3 linked regions of the Ovis aries genome follow. The protein of the gene in region 3 purifies or fractionates together with the protein of the main gene of each other region. This does not show direct contact. Links are inferred from orthologs where the notes say so. Each region holds a gene or a part of one and is shown on either strand. Other genes may lie near its edges.

Region 1 (7,143 bases), on a different chromosome or scaffold from region 3:
GGGTCCTGAGTTCCGGTGCAGCATTCTGCTTCTCCTGCTTATTAGTTTCACATCTGACAGTCACAAGACAGCTGTGTGATGGCACCGGAGGTCTGCAAGAAACGCCCAAAGGAAGCCCTGGGCTCTGCCTTCCTGGATCAGCTGGCATTCCTGTTGGGCATCTTGTTTAGTAAATATTGGTAGGGACAGACATGAATTGCTGCAGAGTGTTCTGGCAGAAATATCTTTACCTCTGTTTGAGCCCTTTCCATACTAGGGGGAGGGGGGCTCATTTGTTAAAGTTAACAGATAACCCTAGCTTTAGCAGAAAAGAGGAATTTACTACAATGATAAAGGGATGTCTGCAAGAATGTAAATGCCACTGGGCCCTGGAAAAGTCTTAAGCTGGGAGCCGCAAAACCATCAGAATCTCTGTGACTCTCTACTCTTCCTCTCATTTTATCATTATTTTTCCATTCACTGGCTTTCTCTTCTTCTCCAGTCCATCTCACAGAATCTGGCCACCCCAACTCCTAGTTCAGTCAGTCGGTCTCAGAGACTGACCCCAGCACTTAGTACAGTCAAAATAACAAATCAGGAACTCACCATGTCTCATGATTGGTCTGACCTCTGTCCTGTGTTTACCATAGAGCCCACTGGCCACGTTGGGGGGAAGGTGACCGCCAGAGACCCACTCTCTGGGCTGGTCAGGCAATTACTAGAAAAGTAGAATTAGGCAGCTGCTGCTACGAATCCAGCAATTATTCTTTATCATAGGGGTATTTCCTTTTGGAAAATCCAGCACATAACTCACAAACAAATACAGTTCCTCATGGTACTGAAACACCATGAGCAGGTCAATGTTTCTATTGATTGCAAGGACTATTCCTCACTTGGTTTTGATCCTCTCACAATGCGTGGCCGAGATAGATGGCTTCTTCTGTATTTATTAAAGTTTGCTTTAAAAGTAACAAACTCTCCCAGTACAATGAAAATCTTTGTATGTCAACACTTATTTTAAAGGTAGATGGAGAAAGAAACAGGCATTAAGGAGGAATTGAAGAGACAGAGGAATATGGAATGCCCAAATATCAGGGTGTGTGCCAACTGGATATTAACCAGAAACTTGAATATAACGACTTAATATAAACCACTTAAATGTCCATCTTCATAGCATGGAATAAATTAGATCCATATATATCACAATAAATAAAAAGTGTAATATTGGAGTAGAAAAGCAAGTTGCAGAATAATATTGGTACAATGTAGTAAGGATTATGTAAATAAAAAGCAAGATCACACTATATATTTTTAATGGATTTTTAAAATGATCACATTCACACTTTTAATGAAAAGCATATACATAAGAACTGGAAGTAAAATGCCACGATATTATGTAGTGGGAATATGGATGATTTTTTTTTGCATTTTTTCTATATTTTAAAATATCTACATATATATCAATATGGATAGATACTAGAAAAAAATAGGTGAAAAAAGTCAGTTGCAATAAATACTCAGTTCAGTTCAGTTCAGTTCAGTCGCTCAGTCGTGTCCGATTCTTTGCGACCCCATGAATCGCAGCACGCCAGGCCTCCCTGTCCATCACCATCTCCCAGAGTTCACTCAGATCACGTCCATCGAGTCAGTGATGCCATCCAGCCATCTCATCCTCGTCCCCCCTTCTCCTCCTGCCCCCAATCCCTCCCAGCATCAGAGTCTTTTCCAATGAGTCAACTCTTCGCATGAGGTGGCGGAAGTACTGGAGTTTCAGCCTCAGCATCATTCCCTCCAAAGAAAGCCCAGGGCTGATCTCCTCCCGAATGGACTGGTTGGATCTCCTTGCAGTCCAAGGGACTCTCAAGAGTCTTCTCCAACACCACAGTTCAAAAGCAATAAATACTACTAGTATGATTAATATTTATATTTATGTAAAATCCATAACAATAAAAACAAACTACCTATTTCTATGGATATATCTATCCACGTGAATATATCCATATATATTCACATAAATTCACAATAGAAGGTCCAGAAGGAAACGCAGTGTACTAAGCTGTATAACGGTTACCTCTGAGGAAGGGACTTAGAGACCGAAGGTAAAAGAACATTAGTACCTTATCTACAAAGTTTTCATATTTTGCAATAATTCACATATTATCTGTGTAACTAAAAATTAAAACACATAATTTTAGAGAAAACTGCCTACACCAGTCCACGGGTTTGGCTTTCGGAAGCCCTGGTGCGGGTTACTGCCGAAATCCATCGTTTATTCCCGTGTGGGTTAACCTGCTTAACGTGTTAAACGTCCTACTCAGAAAACAGATTCTTAAACTGTTCTAAGATCTGTTCGGAAGAAGTGTGGGTCTAATTACTGGAGAAAATATTTTATTTTTAGTAGCCAATACTTTCTAAAATAGTTCTATAGGGATGAAGTAAAACATATAGCAAACAATCAGAAATTAAGTGTACTTGCATGTAAATGCATTAAATAGCTTTCTGGAAGGCCCCACTCACAACTGGGTAGCGTGGCCGAGCGGTCTAAGGCGCTGGATTAAGGCTCCAGTCTCTTCGGGGGCGTGGGTTCGAATCCCACCGCTGCCAGAGTGAGCTTTTTGCCCCTTGCTACCTCCTCACCAGCTGTTTTGCTACTGCGTCAGCGCCCCCTGCTGCCAGGCCAGGGCTGGCCGCCCGTATGAATGGAGCGGCGGAGGGGGCGGGTCCGCGCGCGCCGGGGCGGGGCATTGTGGGTAAAAGGAAGCGCTAGGGCCCGCCCCTCTCGCTCCCCCCACGTGTCCGCCCGAGTTTCTCCACCGGCAACATGGCCGCTGCCTGAGAGGAGAGTCTGGCCACTGCCGCTTCTGCAGCCCGCGGGTACCTGGGCCGTTGCTGCGCCCGCGTGCGGGCCCCGCGGAGAGGTGAGTGCCGTCTTGGCAGTACCCACCCGTGCTGGAGCCGGGCCGTACTCACGAGGTGGGCTTGGGCGGGGCTGCTGAGTAGGCCGGGAGGCCCGCGCCGCGCGGTGCCCAGGGGCCGGGGGCCTCTTAGGACTCCCGCGGGAAGGACGGGCAGCCTGCCCCAGGAGACCCGGGCCGGCCACAGGCTCCGACCTCGCCTCGCCGTGGCAGTCGGTGACGCCAAGGCCGAGGCTACCGGCGGTGACTCAGGGTCCCGCCGCTTTGCCCCACCCGGCTCAGGCCGGCCTCCTGTGGGAGCACCTGTCCGAAGGCAGCCGGTGTCCTGCCGGCGTGGCGGCTCGTGGCAGTGGCTGTGTGGTGGGCGTGAGAAGGGGGCCTGACCACCCGCGAGGGAGGCGAAACCCATTGGACAGTGTGGCGCGGGGCAGGCGGCCCGCCCCGATGGGCAGGGGGAGGGTGTCCGGGGCCCCCTCCTCGCCGCCGAACCGGATCAGCTCGAGTCCGGCTAGGCCTGGAATTCTCCATTCATTTATTCCAGCCACCCTTCAGTGCTAATTGGGAGCCAGCGACGTGCGGCCGATGGGGCCGGCCCTGAAGATTTGATCAGACGAGGTGTCAGTAAGCACGTCAAGTAAACCAGTAAATAAAAAAAGTCATTTTGTTGTGTTAGCTTTAGAATCATTGGAGGGCAGAAAAAGGAGAGCTTAAAGCAGTTGTCACGGTTTTCTTCATCTGTGAATTGGGGGTAAGAGGATTCCCCCGCCTCCTAGGGCTGTGATGAGAGCTAAATATAGGGTAAGACGGGAGAAGCGCCAGGTTGTAGTGTTTGTTTCGTGGCTCTGTCTCCTGCCCTTTTATATTGGAAGAAAACATTGTGCCGAGTAAGTAACAAACCTTCCCAGGGATTACGTTTCTACTTTACTTAATCTTCACAGTTTTCTGAGGTTGGTACTTTTGTTAATACCCATTTTTGGGGTGAAAATAGTGAAGATCAAACGATGCTAGACGGGGTAGAGGTACCAGAGGGCAGACCTGGGATTTGAACCTGTGCAGTTTCACTCTAGAGTCTAGGCTTTTACCCACTACACCATCCTGCCTTCCACTAAGGGAGCTCGCAGCATAGTCGTTAAGAATGAGAATAAGGCTATTTGACATCAGCTAGACCCAGGTTTGTGGCTTAGCTCTGCCTTTCTCTGGCACTGTGACCTTGGGTAAGTTACTCTCTGAACTTGAGTTTCCTCTTCTGTTAATTGGGGATGGTATCAATACATCCTTACTTAGAGAGCTATTGGACAGATTACATGAGGATGAATATATTAAGTCCTTAGAGAAGGGAGGGTCTTATGAGTTAAGAATTAATTCTTTTTGCCTCTAGGCCACCTCTCTCCTTGCATTGAGGTGGAAACTGAAGTGACTCAAAAAGGGGAGATGCCTTGTCGAAGGGGCACACAGCCAATAAGAATCCAGACTTTGAGACTGTTTACCCTGGGCCCCTTACCCCTTAATTCAGTTTTGTGTTGTCTCTCTCCTTCCAGTAGCTGGAGACTGTTTTTCCGTTGGCCTCTGTTTTTCTGATTGGCCTACAGGTTAGACTCCTGGGTGACCCAGCTGTGGCCTTCAGGCATCTTCTCTGCTCTGGACCCTCCCTTAGATTTACCTTGTCCCCTTTCCTTTGTTGAACAGTCCCCTGGTGGGGATGTTTTCTGTGCCCAGTGCTTGGAGCCGCTGCCATAGAGTATCTTTGTGGTCACAGGAAACCCTCTTGAGGTCAAGGTGGTCACTGCTGCCTTGAGGTGGTGGCCTGGAAGTGCAGACCACACCCCTGTCCTCAAGTGTCCAGGAGGCCCGAACTGTAAGGCCACCAGTCTCTGGATGGGGCTGAATTAGGATCACTGGGTAAAGGGTCTGTCACTGCCTGATCTCATGCACTGATTTACTCAGTCTTTGTACTATATTAAGTGTTTACTTCACTGTTCTAGATATTGGGAGAACAGCATGAATTTTTAAAAAGATAATAATGCCCGTATCAACTCCACAAAGTAAATTAAATCATCTCTGTTTTATGGTTGAAGCACAGAGGGTGCTCATGGAGCATACATTCTAGTGCAGAAGACAGACAACACATAAGCAAATAGACCAACTAGGTAATTCCAAGTTATAATAAGAACCATGAAAGAAATAAAACAGGGATTTGGTAGTGACTGGAACGGGTGAGGGGTGGGGGCCTTTAAGGTGACTGGTCAGGGAAACTTGTCTGTTCCTGGAGGAAGTGGGATGGGTGATATCTAGTGAAAAGGAGCCAGCCTTTTTTGAAAAGACCTGAGGAAAATAGATGATGTGCAAAGTTCCTGAGACTGGCTGGGGCTTAGCTTGTTGGAGGCCCAGCAAGATCATATGGGACCTTGGGGCCATGGAAAGGAATTTGGATTTTATCCTATGTGACAGTTGAAGAGTTTTGAATGGGGGAATGATAACTTTCCTTCCAAGGAGCAAGGGTCTTTGAATTTCATGGCTGCAGTCACCATTTGTGGTGATTTTGGAGCCCAAGAAAAGAAAATCTCACTGCTTCCACTTTTTCACCTTGTATTTGCCAGGAAGTGTTGGGACAAGATGCCGTGATCTGTTTTTGAATATTGAGTTTTAAGCCAACTTTTTCGCTCTTTCACCCTCATAAAGAAAGAAGGTCGTTAGTTCCTTTTCACTTTCTGCCATTAGAGTGGTATCATCTGCATATCTGAAGCTGAACTATTTCTGCCTGCAGTCTTGATTCCAACTTGTGATTCATCCAGCCTGGCATTTTGTATGATGTACTCTGCATAGAAGTTAAATAAACAGAGTGACAATATACAGCCTTGACGTACTCCTTTCCCAGTTTTGAACGAGTCAGTTGTTCCTTTTGAGGTTCTAACTGTTGCATCTTGTTCTGCATACAGGCTTTTCAGGAGACAGGTAAGGTGGTCTGGTATTTCCGTCACTAAGAATTTTCCACAGTTTGTTGCGATCCACACAATCAAAGGCTTTAACATAGTTAATAAACCAGTAGTAGATGTTTTTCTGGAATTCCCTTGCTTTCTCTATTATCCAATGAATGTTGGCAATTTGACCTCTCATTGCTGTCCTGGGGGTACCACAAGGGACACACTAGATGAAAATCTCTGCCTTCGACTGGTTTACCACTGAGTGGCAGTAGGGGTGGATGGTAAACACGAAGCTGTAAACTGTCGCGTCGTGATACGTGCTGTGAAGAAGGAACTGGCTGGGGGGGTATTGTGGTTTTAACTGGGTGGGTAGGGAAAGCCTCGGCCATGAGGCAGAGTCTAAGCAAAAACTTGAAAGAGGTGAAGGAGGGCACTGTGGGGTTATGGGGGCCAGGGGAGCAGTGACAGAGACCCAGAGGGGGGTTGGGGAAGAGGGGGAGGCCTGTGGAAGATGAGGTCTGAAAGGAAGAGGGTCAGGGAGGGGTTGTTTAGGGCCTCGCACGGGATGGAAACAGCGTTGGCTTTTATTTCTGGCGATATGGGGAGACTGTTAAGGGGGAGGAGTGATGTGATCGCTAGCTGTGGGTTCAAGGTGGAAGGAGGGAGGCCAGTTAGGAGGCTGCTGCTCTAAGGTGGGCAGGAGCTGGAGGTGGCAGCGGGAGTGCCCAGATGCTTGGCATACTGTGAAGGTGGAGCTTACAGGATTTGCTGGTGTGGGATGAGAGGAGGAGGAACATCGAGGATGATGCCAGTGCTTCGGCCTGAGCCTTGTTAGTGTCTGGAATGTGTATCTGGAATAAACATGACTTTGCATGGTGGCTGGGACAGGGCCTAGATGCCATTGAAACCCGTGGTGAGAGTATGTATGCTCTTTCAAATATTAAACCATTCTAGTGTTAAGTAAATTAGACAGAAATTGAGCTGGTTTGATCCCTGGGTTGGGAAGATCCTCTGGAGAAGGAAATGACAACCCACTCCAGTACTATTGCCTGGAAAAATCCCATGGACAGAGGAGCCTGGTAGGCTGCAGTCCATGGGGTCGCAAAGAGTTGGACACGACTGAGCGACTTCACTTTTACCAAAAGAAAGAGGTCTGGGAAAGGCTGAGATCAGAGGCTGCCCAGGTGCCTTATTTATTTATTTTGGTCTACCGTAGGTCTTTGTTGCTGCCTGCGGGCTTTGTCTAGTTGTGGCTACTAGAAGCTGCTTTCTGATTGCAGGGCCCAGGCGAGGCCTCTCTTGCAGAGCACCAGCTCTAGGGTATGTCG
Region 2 (6,958 bases), on a different chromosome or scaffold from region 3:
TGGGTGGGGAAGATCCCCTGGAGGAGGGCATGGCAACCCACTCCAGGATTCTGGCCTGGAGAATCCCCATGGACAAAGAGAAGCCTGGTGGGCTACAGTCCATGCGGTTGCAAAGTCAGACACCACAAGCGACTAAGCAGGAGGCAGAGGCTGGGATGAGAGGCGGAGGGCGGGAGCAGCCTCCAAACTCACCAGGCTTCCTCTGTTCTCTCGCCAGTTCCGCTCGCTGTTCTTTGGCTCCATCCTGGCCCCTGCACACTCTCCCCAGGGCCCCAGCCCTGTGCTGGCTGAGGACAGTGAGGGCGAAGGCTAAGCCGAGCCAAGAAGGGGCCCGATGAAGCCCCACCCCACCCCTCTCCCAAGGCCAGCCACGGCAGGTCCGCTCTCCTCCTTGGTGGGTGGTAGAGATGCGCCCTGCTGGAGCTTAGCTGACTGGTCCCACCACCTCCCCCAGGGCCTTGACTGGCCTGGGTCTTGTTGTTTCCCTTCAACCCTCAAATCTTTCATTCAACCCTCAATCTATCATGTCTGTTCCCAGTCTCGGTGCTGAGCTGCCCTCTGCAGGGAGTTCCCTCACCTCTTAATCCAGTTCTGTGGCCAGAACTGGAGGACTGCCTTCTCTAAGCCCACCTCCCTAAGAAACAAAGAAATCATTGTAGGGCTTCTGCCCCTGCTGATCCACCTTCTGCCAATCATGACCTGTCCCTCCCTCAAATCCTGAGCACACCACTGGGATCCCCTGTGACTGGCACACACTGCTTGCTTTCCCTGAACTCTCTGGCCCTGGCTTGGAAATTCCAAGAGCCCCTGCGGACCTGGGCACGTGGCTGGGGTTTTCCTGGCTGGGGCCCGAAGCCCAGCAAGCCTCCCAAGTGGCTCTGGGCGGAAGAGTTGCCAGGCCCAGTGTTTGGGACAAGGGAGACAGGCTATGGCAAGAATCCAGCTTTGACCTTTATTCAAGAGACCAGATGGGTTGCCCCAGGATCCGGCTGCCAGCCCTGAGGCCAAGCAAGGCTGGAGATCCCCAATCTGGCCCTGCTTTGCCCTGAGCTGCAGCCTTAGCCCCAGGATCCTGCCTGCAGCCGCTGTAGGTACAAGCGGGAAGACCCCTGGGGGACTGGATGCTGCTATTGATTCATAAAAAAAAAAGAGAAAAATACACCAAGCCTCCATGTTCCCCGTGATGGGTGGGCCTGGGGGGCCAGCACGAGCCCCCTGTAGCCACATGATTTCTGTACAATCCACCATCTGGGGCAGAGGGCGGGCACACGGAGGCTATTTCTTGGCTTTGGCGGAGTTGCGGGGTGGGGTGATGGGCCGGCCTCCAGGGTTCAGGCCACTGAACTGCCCATATTTCCCCTTGTTCTTGTCGGCGGGCTTGAGGATCTAGAAGAGAAAAACTGGTCAGGCTTAAGGGGTCAAGCCGTAAGTCCCTGGGCCTGCCTGCCCCCGGCCCGACCCCCACCTGGAAGGAGCACATGAGCGTCTCGTCCACGCTCATCATGGCACCTGCATTGTCAAACTCGCCGCAGTAGTTGGGGGCTGAGAAGAGTGTCACCAGCTGCCGCTTGGCAAAGAACTCGTAGCCGTCTTCTACTACCTGGACGAGGGTGGAGGCGGTTAGTTCAGCAGGAGCTGGCTGCCAGCCCTGCTCTAACCCAGATGGGGGCTGCCAGCCCACCTGGTGTGCCCGGCAGATGAGGTCCAGGTCATGCTTGTGCAGGAACTTGGCCACCACCTCAGCTCCAAAGGTAAAGGAGACGCCGCGGTCATTCTCGCCCCAGCCCTGCACGTCCTTGTCAGGGTCAGACCACAGCAGGTCACAGAGCAGGCCCTGGTCAGGCACATCTGTGGGCCGCATGATGCGCCGGATCTGCTCCATGGACTGTAGGTCTGGGGACAGGCCTGGAGGGCACAGGGGGCAGGTCACCTCCTCCAGGCAGCCTTTGCCAATCAGCCTCTGCCCCCCACCTCTCCAGGATTCCTGGGAGCCTACAAAGGCAGAACTCATCACCTTCTGCCTCTTCCAAGTCCCTGTCCCTTCAAGGAGCACAGAGCTCCCTGGAGAAAGTGTTTTCGCTCAGTCGTGTCCGACTCTTTGCAACCCCATGGACTGTCCAGGCAAGAAAGCTGGAGCGAGTAGCCATTCCTTTCTTCAGGGGATCGTCCCAACCCAGGGATCAAACCTGGGTCTCCCGCATTGCAGGCAGATTCTTTACCATCTGAGCCACTAGGGAAGCCCTGGAGAAAGGGGACAAGCAAACTCCATGCAAGAAGGCGAGGCCATGACACAACAGTGGGTGCAGCCTAATGCTGCAGTGCGGGGGCACGTCATGGAAGAAGTACTACCCATACCAGGACTCCAGGGAGAGCTGTTCCTGGCGACTGGGAACACATCTTCCAGCCGACGCTTCTGTCCCAAGGTCCCCAGGGGTGCTCACCCTGGGAGGCTCATCCTGCTCAAGAATTCACATGCCCAGAGCTGTGCTCACCTCCATGGCAACAGAAGATCTTCTCGTCCACGATGGCAGCGATGGGCAGGCAGTTGAAGCAATCAGTGAAGGTCTTCCACAGTTTGATGTTGTAGCGTCTCTTGCCTGCCCAGGGGGAAGGAGACAGCTCACCAGAGGGCCTCTGCTCCACCCTCAGCCCAGGTCTCCAGGCCTTCCAGGACACATTGTGTGTTGTTCAGACACAGCTAGGAGGAGAGAATGGAAGGCAAAAAAGGAAACCGAACCCCCGCCCCCTACCCCTACTACCCCACTGCCTCCCAGACAGAATTCTAAAGCAGCCAAGTCCACGGGAACCCCAGAGTTCCACTTCTGGCACGACCTCAAGGTTGGCATCCACCCCCAGCACAAGAGCAGGGCCAGGTCGAGACAGGGTCTGGTTCATCTTGGCTTCTGTCTAACAGAGTCCAGTCCCAACAGGCATCCTAAGTGCTTAAGTATCGGATGCGCTGGAGGGGAGTGTCAGCAGGTGAGGCCCTGCCTTAGAATCCTGGCAGCCCTTCAGCCAGCAGCCACTGGCTAGGTCCCTCCTGAGTGCCAGGATCTGCTCTAGGAGGGTCGGGGAGGGTGGCATGGGCTGGTGCTACCTTCACGGCACTCAGCTTAGCAGGTGTTTGTCAGACGCTGACACCCCAGCCACCAGGTCAACACGAGGGTCGCACTGAATGGCAAGGAGAGCCCTTTAGGACCAGGGCAGCCCAGATGCTCTGCCCACTCACACTCATCATAGAAGCCGTAGATGCGGTTGATACTGGCACACTCGTGGTTCCCACGGAGCAGGAAGAAGTTCTCCGGGTACTTGATCTTATAGGCCAGCAGCAGGCAGATGGTCTCCAAAGACTGCTTGCCCCTGTCCACGTAGTCCCCCAGGAACAGGTAGTTACTTTCTGGAGGGAAGCCGCCGTACTCAAACAGCCGCAGAAGGTCATAGTACTGGCCGTGAATGTCACCTGTGACCCAGGGAACCAGGTCAGCACTAGGGCAGCCTAAACGTGAACCCAGGGTCAGGGTTGGGCCCAAGGGAGGAGAAACTTGGGAGGGGTGGGGGGCAAGGCCGCTTTCAGGAGGCCACGGGGACCTGGGCTGGGGGCTCACCGCAGATCTTGAGGGGTGCCTCCAGCTCCAGAAGAATGGGCTGGCTCAGGAAAATCTCCCGGGATTTGAGGCACAGACCACGGATCTCGTTCTCCGTCAGCTGTACATTCTTTCCAGGCCTGGAGCCCTGCACTGGGGGCGGAAAGAGGCGTCAGGACCCTGGTTCCTCAGGCAAGAAGAGGGTGAATGTCACTGGTGGCCCCAAAGGCACTTCTGGGTAGGGGCTCCTGGGCCTCCCGGCCCCGCCTTGCCCAGGGGCAGCTGTTGCTGCTGAGCCTCCTGGGACCCCCAACTGCCCTCAAGGCGCTCGCGAGGGGACTGCTGTGCGCAGAGGCCATCCAAAACCTCAGCACAGGACCCCTTCCTGGGGGACTAGGCTTCTCAGGTTTCTCCCTCAGCCAAGAGCCCAGGCCAATCCTTGCGCGCCCACCCCCGCCACCGCCAACCCCGGTTCTGCTCTGGCAAGGGGAGCAACCCCAGACCTCCCAGCGCGCCACGACTGGGGTGGGGTGGGGGCACGATGTGGCCACGGGACCTCGCGGCCCGTCCCCGCCCAGTCAAAGCTGGCCCTGGGAGGGGCAGGTCCACCCGCGCGCCACTTCCGGGCCGGGCAGGGGACCAGGGCGCGGCGGGCGCCCACCTCCCTCGCCTCCCCGGCCAACCTTCCAGCAGGCGTCCGATTATAGAGTCCAGGTTGAGCTTCTCGCTGTCGGACATGGCGGCGCCGCCGCTCTGGCCCAGCACCTCCGGGCCCTATCCTGCCTCCCGCCCTCCCGCGGCCTCCTTCCGGCCTGGTGCTCCTTCCGCCCGCCCGGGCCCGCCCCGGCCCGCCGCCCCGCCTCCTCTGCCGGCAGCCCCGCCCCGCCGCACCCGGCCCCGCCCCGGCCCGCCCGGTCGCCCGCCGCCCCTGCGCTCTAGCGCCTCCACTGGACGCCAGGCCCGGGGCCCGCGGCGGCTCGGGAGGCGGGGCTCGGGCTGACCTGGTTGCGGGGGCGGAGCCTACACTGGGGGCGGGGCTTCACGGGGCGAGGTCGACTCTAGTTCCGCCCTTGAGGAGTTACCCACCCTTGCACCGAGGATGTGCGGCCGGAAGTAGTGTGGAGTTGTTTTTCTCTTTCAAGGGCCCAATAGTCCTTCCCATTTCTGTCCCGGGCTAGAAGGTGGTGTGACCTCATTGATATCTCATTGGGTCTCCCCAGAGAGTGCAGATTAAATCCACGAAGTGCAGGAAAGGAAACAGGTTCAAAGATAGCAAGGGTTGGCTTCAGACTGACGGAGGAGCTCTCACCTCTAGGGTCCCTGTGGCCTGCGGGCGGCTGACCATACCCAGACACCTGTCGCTGAACGCCGAGCTCATTTTGGTCCCCCTGCCCGTGGCGCATGCTACACCATTACTACTATTTTTTAATGTCTCGTCGTTGTGTTTTGAGTAGCGCAGTAATGACTTACTGTTTGACTTGTCGAAAGCGTTAACAAAAGAAGTCACGTTAAATAAAGTGTAATACTCACTGGAACCCTGAATTGAGTGTTTTATTTGCCTGTGACCTCACATCTGGAGGCAGCGTGGCCTCTCTACCTCTGGCAGGCCCTGGCTGCATCACACCCAGCACAAGAACCCAGGCCTGCACCCACCTAGCCCACCGGGGTGGTGGGAGGAGCCCATGGCCCAGGGCTACTGGGGCAGGCCGGAAGAGCCCTGGAGAGGAAGGGGTAACCCCCCCCACCACGCACTTGGGAGGGGCCCTCAGCGGGTTGCTGAAGCTGTGGCTGAGGAGGAAGTGAGAGGAGGAGGTGAGGTGCAGCAGGGAGGTAAGCTGGGCCCCTTGGGACAGGGGCTGGGCCTGGGTCTCCGGTAGGGGGCCTGGCCTTTCTGCCCCTCTGGGCCTGTGCCCCACCCCCACCCCACAAGAGGAGAGGGTACCAGAGGGGTATGGTGCGATGCCCTGCAACCTGTCCTCTTTGACCAGGCGGGCAGGTCCTGGGGCTGAGGCCTGGCTGCAGAGGCGCCCCGGCCCCGGCTGGCCGGGAGCCCCTGCTCACACTGGCTGTGCCCACATCTTGCAGCCTGCCGCACGGGGGGTCGGTGGCGCCATGGCCCAGGCCCTGGGCGAGGACCTGGCGCAGCCCAGTGAGCTGCAGGATGACTCCAGCTCCTTGGGGTCCGACTCAGAGCTGAGCGGGCCCGGCCCGTATCGCCAGGCTGACCGCTACGGCTTCATTGGGGGCAGCGCAGCAGAGCCAGGGTAAGTGGAGAAGGGATGAGGGGGGTACGGGGTGCTGGGCCTAATGCTGGAGGCTGAGAGCTGAATTCTAGAGTGAGGCCCAACCTCGAAGGTCCTGGAAGGGTCTGGGGACTCAGCTAGCATCACCTGTTCTCAGGTTCTAGATGGAATCTTAAGATTAGCAGGGCTATGGGGAGTGAGTACCTGTGTGTCTCTTCCTCCCAGTCTCTGAGGGTTCCCAGAGGGGCTGAACCTGCTTCTCCGTTCAATCTGGCCCAGGAATCCCAAGATCATAGAACCCACACTTCTTCCCCTACCAGTCCCCCCCTTCCCCAGGTGCTGACAGGAAGACGAGATCCGAGATAGATAGGGAGGTCATACCGCCATCAGAGGCAGAATCAGGCTCAGAGAAGACTCCTGGTTTCTAGCTCTTGGGCTCTGTCTACTCAACTTCCCCGAAGAGTTGTCTGTGTCCCCGTCCCGGGGGACAGTCTACCAGCCCCTCCCCCAACACACACCTACACACCCTCTTCAGTATCTCCTGCTTCCGCCCACATCAGAGCCACATCCTTTCCTGTCCCCATGACAACCACTGGCAACTCCTGGGTGACAGGTCACTCCCCACCCCAGAGATTCCCAGAGATCTCCAGGGCCAAGGGTTGGGCTCACCCAGGTGGTGGGAAAGGCCGAGGATGTGGCCATCCTATGTCTGGACATTTGTGCCGTGTGCCCCCAGGCCGGGTCACCCTCCTGCAGACCTCATCCGCCAGCGGGAGATGAAGTGGGTGGAGATGACTTCACACTGGGAGAAAACCATGTCTCGGCGGTACAAGAAGGTGCGGGGAGAGTGGCCCCACACGGGCCCCCTTGGCTTGCCCCCCCTTTACCTGGCAAAATTCAGCCTCCTGTGTCCCAGCACCTCCTGGCTTCACTCCCTGCTCCTCGCCGAGACTCTTGCCCGATGGCAGATTGTGCCTGAGGCCAGCTGAGAGCGGCAGGGGTATCTGGCACAACTGGCCTAACAGGGTGCCCTGGCCTCACCCGCAGGTGAAGATGCAGTGCCGGAAAGGCATCCCCTCGGCCCTGCGGGCCCGGTGCTGGCCCCTTCTGTGCGGGGCTCACGTGTGTCAG
Region 3 (7,057 bases):
GGGAAGTGGTGCGGTGCGCTCACAAGAGTGGGATGAGTACCACTGCCTGGGCCCTCGATGCCAGCTGTCTGTCCACAGGCAGCTACTGTACCAGCCGGTAGGTGATATACCTGCCCGCAGTCTCGCTCGGCCGGATGATCTTCACCACCTAGAGGCAGGAAGCAGAGCTGGAGTGGTGCAGGAGCAGCAGCCTGGGTTCCCTCCGCCCTGCCCAGAAGCCCTGGCTCTAGTTCCACCCTGGGAGGGCTTCTTACCTGTCCGCGCTTTATCCCAAAGTAGCGCGCCACAGGGTCTCCTGCCTGGATCCTGGGCAGCTGGTTCTCTCGGAGTTTACTGGGTAGCAGGTCAGGGAAAAGGCCTCACTGGACTGACTGGGGGTCTGGGATTGGGGTGAAAGGCAGGGTGGGGAGAGGAGCTGGGCCCAGTCAGGGGCCAGAAAGGATACTACCGGGCCAGCAGCTCCGTTACCTCTTCCTTGGTCATGACCACATGCTCCGGGACCAGCTGTGAGAAGAGAACCCGGGCTCCATGGGACTACAGACCCCGGAGCCCCCAGGGGAGGGGTACAGCTCAGGCTCCAAGCGTCTGAGCCAGTCCTAACTCCACACTGGGAGGGAGGGGGTGCGTGTCTGGAGCCTACACCCCCACCCTGCAGATGGGCCACAGGGCACAATCCTGGGAGCCAGGGCTGCAGGGAAGATAGAAACTGCACCCCGCCCCCCAACTCCTGACTGAAGGCTGGATCGCCCTACCTTCTTTCCACACTAGGGGGCCCCCGGACGTCTGCTGTTCCTAAAAAGGTGAGGGGCTGGGGGCTGGGTCTCCAGTCTCATCCCACCCGAGCCCCCGCACCCCTACCTCGTGCTCTGTGATGTTGATAAGCAGCTCCTGCTGCAGAAACTGCTCCAAGATGTACTTGGGTGCCATGTCAACCAGGGACTGGAAGAGACGTCAACCCTCAAGTGCAGCAGGGGCAGCCGCCCGCCCCTCTGTGGCCCCGAGGCCTGCCCCAACCCAGCTCCTCCTCGTGGGCAGCTAGCACCCTGGAAGTGGAGCAGGGTTTACCTTTGTGGCTCAGAAAGACATCGCGCATCATAAATTGGGAAACCCCACCCAACTCCGCCCAGGCTCTCAGCAGTAATAAGGCCTTCATCTCACATCAAGAAAGGTAAGTACCTGTCAGGATGCTCCCAGGGTGGCTGGGAGCTAGTGTGGCAGCCGGTCCCCGGGCCTGGGGACAGAGGTGCTGGCCAGGCTCCATCCCACCCTGGCGGGGCAGGCTTACCTGCTTGGCAGAGGGCGTCATGCCCTGCTGCACCACAATGAGGGCACGTGTGATGTTCTCCTCCTGCATGCGCTGACAGTACACCTTGATGGTCTTGATGCCCACCTTGGGCTCCTCTGCAGGCAGAGCACAGGCTGATCAGTGCTGCAGGGCCCCTTCCCATCGGGCACCCAGGTTCTAGCCTGGCTCTGCCAAGGCACTGCGGTGCCACTCCCACTCTTGGGCCTCAGCCTCCCCGTGTGCAAAGCAAGAACTGGGCAGCTGGTTCCCAGAATGGGGGAGCTGGCTGCCTCCAGGTCACATGGGAGCTGACAAGTGCCCTGGGTGCCCTGGACCTCAGGGACCTCTTCTGGAAGTGGGGTCTGGGAGTCTGGGCTTGGCCAGGGCTCAGTGGCTCTGAGGTTTGGGAAGCCCTGGATTTGGTTTAGTCTTGGAGTTCATGAGACAAGGGCTGGGGTTCTCAGAGGTAAGCTGAGGTGAGCTGACCCAGAGAGTATGGTCCTGCCAGACACAGACCACCCATCTCCATGCCGTAGCACTGGGGGTCCTCATGGTCTTGGCAGCATGCAGGGCCTGCCACAGAACAGCCGGACCCTAGGAGCCCAGCAGGTCAGCACCTAGGGCAGCCCCAGGGTCTGTGTGCAGTATGTCCGCCCCTTCCAGCTGCTCTCACTTCCCATTCCACTAACCCACTCTGCCCTCAAAGTCCCTCTGTTGGGGTCCTGGCCCTGGAATCTCAGAATGAAACTGTATTTGGAAATGTGATCTTTAGGCCCAGAGAGAATGGATGGGTGATCGAGAAGAGGGAAGCTGGAGAAGGGGTTCCCAGAGCAAGGAGGGCAGGGGACAGAAGGATAAGGGTGGGTGCATGACTCTGGGGCGCACAGCAGGTGGCTGCTGTGAGCTGGCCCTGAGCAGCCCTCACCTGGGAAGAAGACGAACATCTGGTCAGTAGGGTCGTCGTTGTGGGCCACCAGCACCGTGAGGTCCGTGCGCCTTGGCCGCCCTTCACTGGGCTTGTCCCCAAACTGGGCCTTGAACTCCTCCAGAGTCTGGTCCAGCTCGTCCTGGGTCACCAGGTAACCACGGTCATGGCACAGCTGCAGAGAGAAAGGGCAGGTGATCGATCGCACAGTGGAGATAGGACAGCAGCCAGAGCTCCGGTGGCCTCACCCACCGCAGAGGAGACTGGGGAAAGGCCTGGGATGCAAGCGGAGATGTTGAGTCCAGAGTCAGGCCCCAGGGCGTAGGTCTGACAGGTACAGCAGGCTGGGCGGGTGTTGGCTGTGAAACCAGGCAAAAGCCTGAGGCCCAGCAGTTCAAGGTCCTGCTCAGAAACTAGGGCTCTGTGAGCACACAGACTAGGTGAGGACCCAGACAAAGGAAGGTTGGAGCTGCCACCCAGCCCTGCCCACATCCCCCACCCCCCGCCGAGTCTCCATTCAGAGACCTGGGTCTCCTCTCCCGCAGCCCCGACACCATCAGGTAGAAGCGCAGCTGCTCCCGCCCTGTCTTGAGTAGCTCTGCCAAGTGTTGAAGAGGCTGGGTCATAGCCCAGCCTTAGCTCCAGCACAATTCCCAGGAGGCTGGGTGCTCTTGATCAAGGCCCCAAGTCTTTGTGGCATCACACTGGACCCCTCTCACATGGTGGCTTAAAGCATGTGGTACACAGAAAAAGCTGGTGTGACTGCTGTGACACTGAGACTGAGTTGGTGGGCAAGGCATCTAAGTAACCACCAGACAGCAGTCAGACCAGCCCACCAGGGTTCCTTCCACCGTCAAGAACCCGGGATTCTGCGTTATGCACTTACGGTGGTGCTGATAAGACAGGCTGGGAGCTGGGACCCTTTGCGGCAGCGCCTGCACTTGGACAAACATCTTCTCCAGCAACAGAATACCCAGAAACCATGCGGGACTAAAAATAACCGTGCAATTGCCCAGCTCGAGCAAATGATAGACAACAACAGAAAGTCAAAACCTCCACTTCTGAGGTGCCGGAGCAAAAGCTGGGTGCCAGGCCTGATCCCTGCACACAGCACCACCCAGAGGGTAGGCAGACCACCCGAATCATCACTCTGGCATGACCCCTGGACCCGCGCCCACCCTCATCCCATTATCCCATTCAAGACGACCTAAGAAGGGCGCCTGTTGCTTGTTTTCGCTCCCTCCTGCTGCAGCATAAGCTCCAACAAAGCCTTGCCTGACCTTCTAGTCTGGCCTGTTATCAATTCTTACTGATTAAGAACTTCAAGGATCAGGGGCTGTAACACCACAACCCTCCAGAAACACAAATACAAGGCGGCCCAGCGTCTCCCGCCTTCCCTCTCTCCAGCTCGAGCGAGATCCTGACCCCCTTCTCTGGGGGCTCTGGGGCTCGACTCCTCCGCTCCAGCCGCGCCGCCGCGGGTGAAGAGGCTCGTCCTCATCAACGGGCCCTAGCACCCGCCGTTCACGCCTCGGCCGCCACGTGCCCAGTTCGTCTGGCGCAGCCAGGCACGCCCTCACCGCGTTCTCCAAGGAGGGCTGCCTCCGCGCGGCTCACCTGCATGATGGTCTTGCGGATCTTCCACAGCCGGTATGTCTCCTCCTCATCGTCCATGATTCCCGCCGCTCTCACACACTGCGCCTGCGACCAGCACGACCAGGGCCCACAGTGCCTACTCCGAGTCCTGATCAGGCCCCCAACACGTCGTCTACCCGTGCAGGGCTGTCGCAGGCGAACGCCTGAATACAGCGACCTTCGGGAGCGGCACTGCCAAGGGCAGCCCTAGCCTTCCTAAAGCGGCGGTTGGTTGCGCGAGCAGCTTTCAAACAGCACCGCCCACCCGCCCCTCGGAAGTTCTCGCGATGCTTTGACGGCACGGCTTCTCGGGAGTGGTGGTTTTTGCTCAACGTCAGTCTGGACAGTGTTTAGAATCTGGAGAGATTGAGGAAGTGTGAGCGGAGCCTCGGTTTTCCGTTTTGTATAATGAAAAGAATAAAGTGTCCCCCATTTTAGAGGATCTAAAGAGATGCTCGTACTTGGGAGGAGCTTGGTATAGTTCCTGGTGCTTACAAAATGCAGCTGAGCCCCAGCCCAGCCCCTGCCTGGATACCCCAAGAGTGCACAACCTCTGCATCGGCCCTTCCCCTCCGAGTTCGTTCAGGAGGTTTGTTCAGGCCTGCTCAGCCCAGCTTACTTGTGTCAGTAACTTCTCATTCAGTAATATATTAATTCAATGATTCAGTATTTAATGAGGAGCCAAAGAGACGGGGAACAAAACAGACCAAGCATCCTTACATGCCAGGGAGAGACAGGACAGAAACAGCGGACATAAGTAAATGATACAGCGTGTTAGAAGGAGACAGTGCTGTGGAAGAAAAAATAGAGAAGTCTCAAATGTGGTCATGGAAGGTTCCAACAAAAATCCAAAGGGTGAGAGGGTAGAAGCCCTGGGGATGTCGAGGAAAGTGTATCAGGTAGAGGGTACAGCATGTGCAAAGGCCCTGAGGCCTAGCATGTTGGCAGCAAGGAGGCCTGTGGGTCAGAGGGTCAGGTGGGGCAGATCTTGGGAGCCCTTGCTGGTTGGGTTTGAGAAGTTTGTGCTTGCAGCCATTTTCAGCATCTCCACAGGGCAGAAACAGGGAGACCAAGGAGTGGGCTAGGGAGGACCGTCCCGGCCAGAGATAGATGAGGCCTCAAGTGAAGGATGAGCTGTGGGCAGGTCTAGGGTGTCCAGAAGGCAGCGCTCATAGGATCTGTAGGTGGACAGGATGTGGAAAGACACAGAGACAAGCAGAGGAGGAAGAACAGACCTCGGTGGGGAGGCATAGAAGGCAGATCTGGAGCAGATCTTGGATATGGTGAGCTTGGGACTCCTGGGGGACCCTACGGGGAGCATCCAGGGGACAGTAGGGCACAAGCCTGGAACTCAGGATGAGCTTGGAGTGGAGGCTGATGTGGATGTTGTGGGCGCACAGTGCAGACTGGAGTTGAGAGGCTGATGAGGTCACAGAGCGCATCAGAAGTCAGGCCTGAGCCCTGAAGCTGGGAGGAGGGGAGGAAACGGCAGAAGGCAAAGAGATGTGGTTACCTGGGCTCCAGTGCTGGCTGTGCGACCTGGGCACATTACTTAACCTCTCTGTGCCTCAATGTCCCCCTCCTCCTTTGTAGAACAGGGGCAAGAACAGAACCCACTGCATATGTACTTGGCTGAAGATTGCAGGGCGATACCCAAGTGTTCCTGAAACAGAATAAAGGGTGGGTAGAAACCTGGTATCCTGGAGTCAGGTGAAGGAGGTATCTGGAGGAGGTGGGTGGAGTAGCTGTCAAAGCAGGTCTGCAGACTGAGAAGGGGACTGGCCCAGGGGCCACTGTTTGTGACCACAGAGGGCAGATCCAGGGAGGAGGCCTTTCTTTATGGGAGGAAAGAAATTGGAGATGTGGATGAAGGGGGAGAAAGAGAGGCGTTCTAGAGTGGGTTTTATTTATTTTATTTTTGGCTGCATTGGGTATTAGCTGCTGAGCACAGGCTTTCTCTAGTTGTGGCGAGTGGAGGCTACTCTCTAGTTGTGGTGCACAAACTTCTCATTTCGGTGGCTTCTCTTGTTGCAGAGCACGGGCTTTAGGGTGCCTGACTCAGTAGTTGTGACGCACAGGCTTAGTTGCCCTCCAGCGTGTTAGATCTTCCTGGACCAGGGATTGAACCATTTCTCCTGCATTGGCGGGTGGATTCTTAACCACTGAGCCACCAGGGATGCCCTAGAGTGAGTTTTAAGACAGGAGAAAGAGTGTCTAGGTGATGGGCAAATCTGAGTGGGAGAGGGGGCAGAACTGCTGGAGGTTCCCAAGGGCAGCCTGGAGTTTACCCGGGGAAGGCCCAGGTGTGGGTGGCAGGGGATGTTAGGTGACCTTGCTGTTCCTTGGGGCAGGGAAGAGGGGAGAATGGACTCACAGGAGCAGGTGGGCCCCATCCCATCGCCCATGAATCAGAATTCTGCCTGTGACTGTGTGACCTCAGCAATGGGACATGGAGTTGCAACTTTCTCCTGGGAACCCGCCACCATGCAGCTCTGCCAATTGGCAGAGCCCAGGGGTCAGAAATCAGGCCACCCCCCCATACACACACACTCCTGGCTGGGGATGTGAAATCCAGCAGCAGCTGTGGGGAAGCCTGGCAGCTCCTTTTAACACCTAAAGTGACCGTGTGAGCCAGCAATTCCACTCCTGGGTACATGCCCAGGAGAAATGAAAACATACGCCTATGCAAAAAGTCTTGTACAGCATCACAAAGCCAAATGGTACAATAGCACAATACTCATTAATGGATACATGGGTAAACACAATATAGTCCATTCATTTCATAGGATATTACTCAGCCATGAAAAGCAGCACTGACACACACTATAATGTGGATGAACCTTGAAAACATGTTGCTCATAGAGAGAAGCCTCACACAAGAGGCCACCTAGTATATGACTCCACTGATGTGAATAGTCCAGGACAGGCAAATCCACGCAGAGTAGATTCATGGTTGTCAGGGGCTGAGGTAGGGAGATGGAGGAGACTGGTAATGGGGACAGGGTTTCTTTTCGAATGACGTGACACAGAAAGCAAAGAAGCGCTGTCTAATTCCACTCATAGGAATTTTAACGGGGTGAGGAAATAGATGGTGGGTGCCAGGGGTTGGGTTGGGGTGGGTGACTACAAAATGGGGGTGGAGTTTATTTTGGGGTGATTAAGAATGTTTTGGAATTGGATAGTGGTGATGGTCCCACAACATTGTGAATATT

Evidence for each region. Proteins that work in one complex are often made in the same cells at the same time.
Region 1: the proteins of POLR2E (region 3) and POLR3E purify together in Homo sapiens (affinity purification with mass spectrometry; 5 studies listed by BioGRID and IntAct, counting the BioPlex papers as one, with this or other methods). This does not show direct contact. The link is inferred for Ovis aries from reciprocal best matches to the Homo sapiens genes POLR2E and POLR3E.
Region 2: the proteins of POLR2E (region 3) and PPP1CA purify together in Homo sapiens (affinity purification with mass spectrometry; 5 studies listed by BioGRID and IntAct, counting the BioPlex papers as one, with this or other methods). This does not show direct contact. The link is inferred for Ovis aries from reciprocal best matches to the Homo sapiens genes POLR2E and PPP1CA.

The regions. Positions count from the first base shown.
Region 1 is NC_056077.1:20,516,289-20,523,431, forward strand, and holds the start of POLR3E (DNA-directed RNA polymerase III subunit RPC5), read left to right. Parts: upstream 1-2,771; 5' UTR 2,772-2,897; intron 2,898-7,143. UniProt on the Homo sapiens protein: DNA-dependent RNA polymerase catalyzes the transcription of DNA into RNA using the four ribonucleoside triphosphates as substrates.
Region 2 is NC_056074.1:41,698,283-41,705,240, forward strand, and holds PPP1CA (serine/threonine-protein phosphatase PP1-alpha catalytic subunit), read right to left. Parts: upstream 4,373-6,958; 5' UTR 4,323-4,372; coding exon 4,268-4,322; intron 3,738-4,267; coding exon 3,606-3,737; intron 3,461-3,605; coding exon 3,230-3,460; intron 2,598-3,229; coding exon 2,493-2,597; intron 1,906-2,492; coding exon 1,682-1,905; intron 1,601-1,681; coding exon 1,466-1,600; intron 1,387-1,465; coding exon 1,276-1,386; 3' UTR 939-1,275; downstream 1-938. Other genes in the region: cell cycle checkpoint control protein RAD9A, read left to right, coding at 218-313; TBC1D10C (carabin), read left to right, coding at 5,544-5,848, 6,564-6,663, 6,875-6,958. UniProt on the Homo sapiens protein: Protein phosphatase that associates with over 200 regulatory proteins to form highly specific holoenzymes which dephosphorylate hundreds of biological targets.
Region 3 is NC_056058.1:41,256,556-41,263,612, forward strand, and holds the start of POLR2E (DNA-directed RNA polymerases I, II, and III subunit RPABC1), read right to left. Parts: upstream 3,950-7,057; 5' UTR 3,885-3,949; coding exon 3,828-3,884; intron 2,386-3,827; coding exon 2,211-2,385; intron 1,402-2,210; coding exon 1,286-1,401; intron 940-1,285; coding exon 859-939; intron 535-858; coding exon 446-534; intron 334-445; coding exon 255-333; intron 149-254; coding exon 83-148; 3' UTR 1-82. UniProt on the Homo sapiens protein: DNA-dependent RNA polymerase catalyzes the transcription of DNA into RNA using the four ribonucleoside triphosphates as substrates.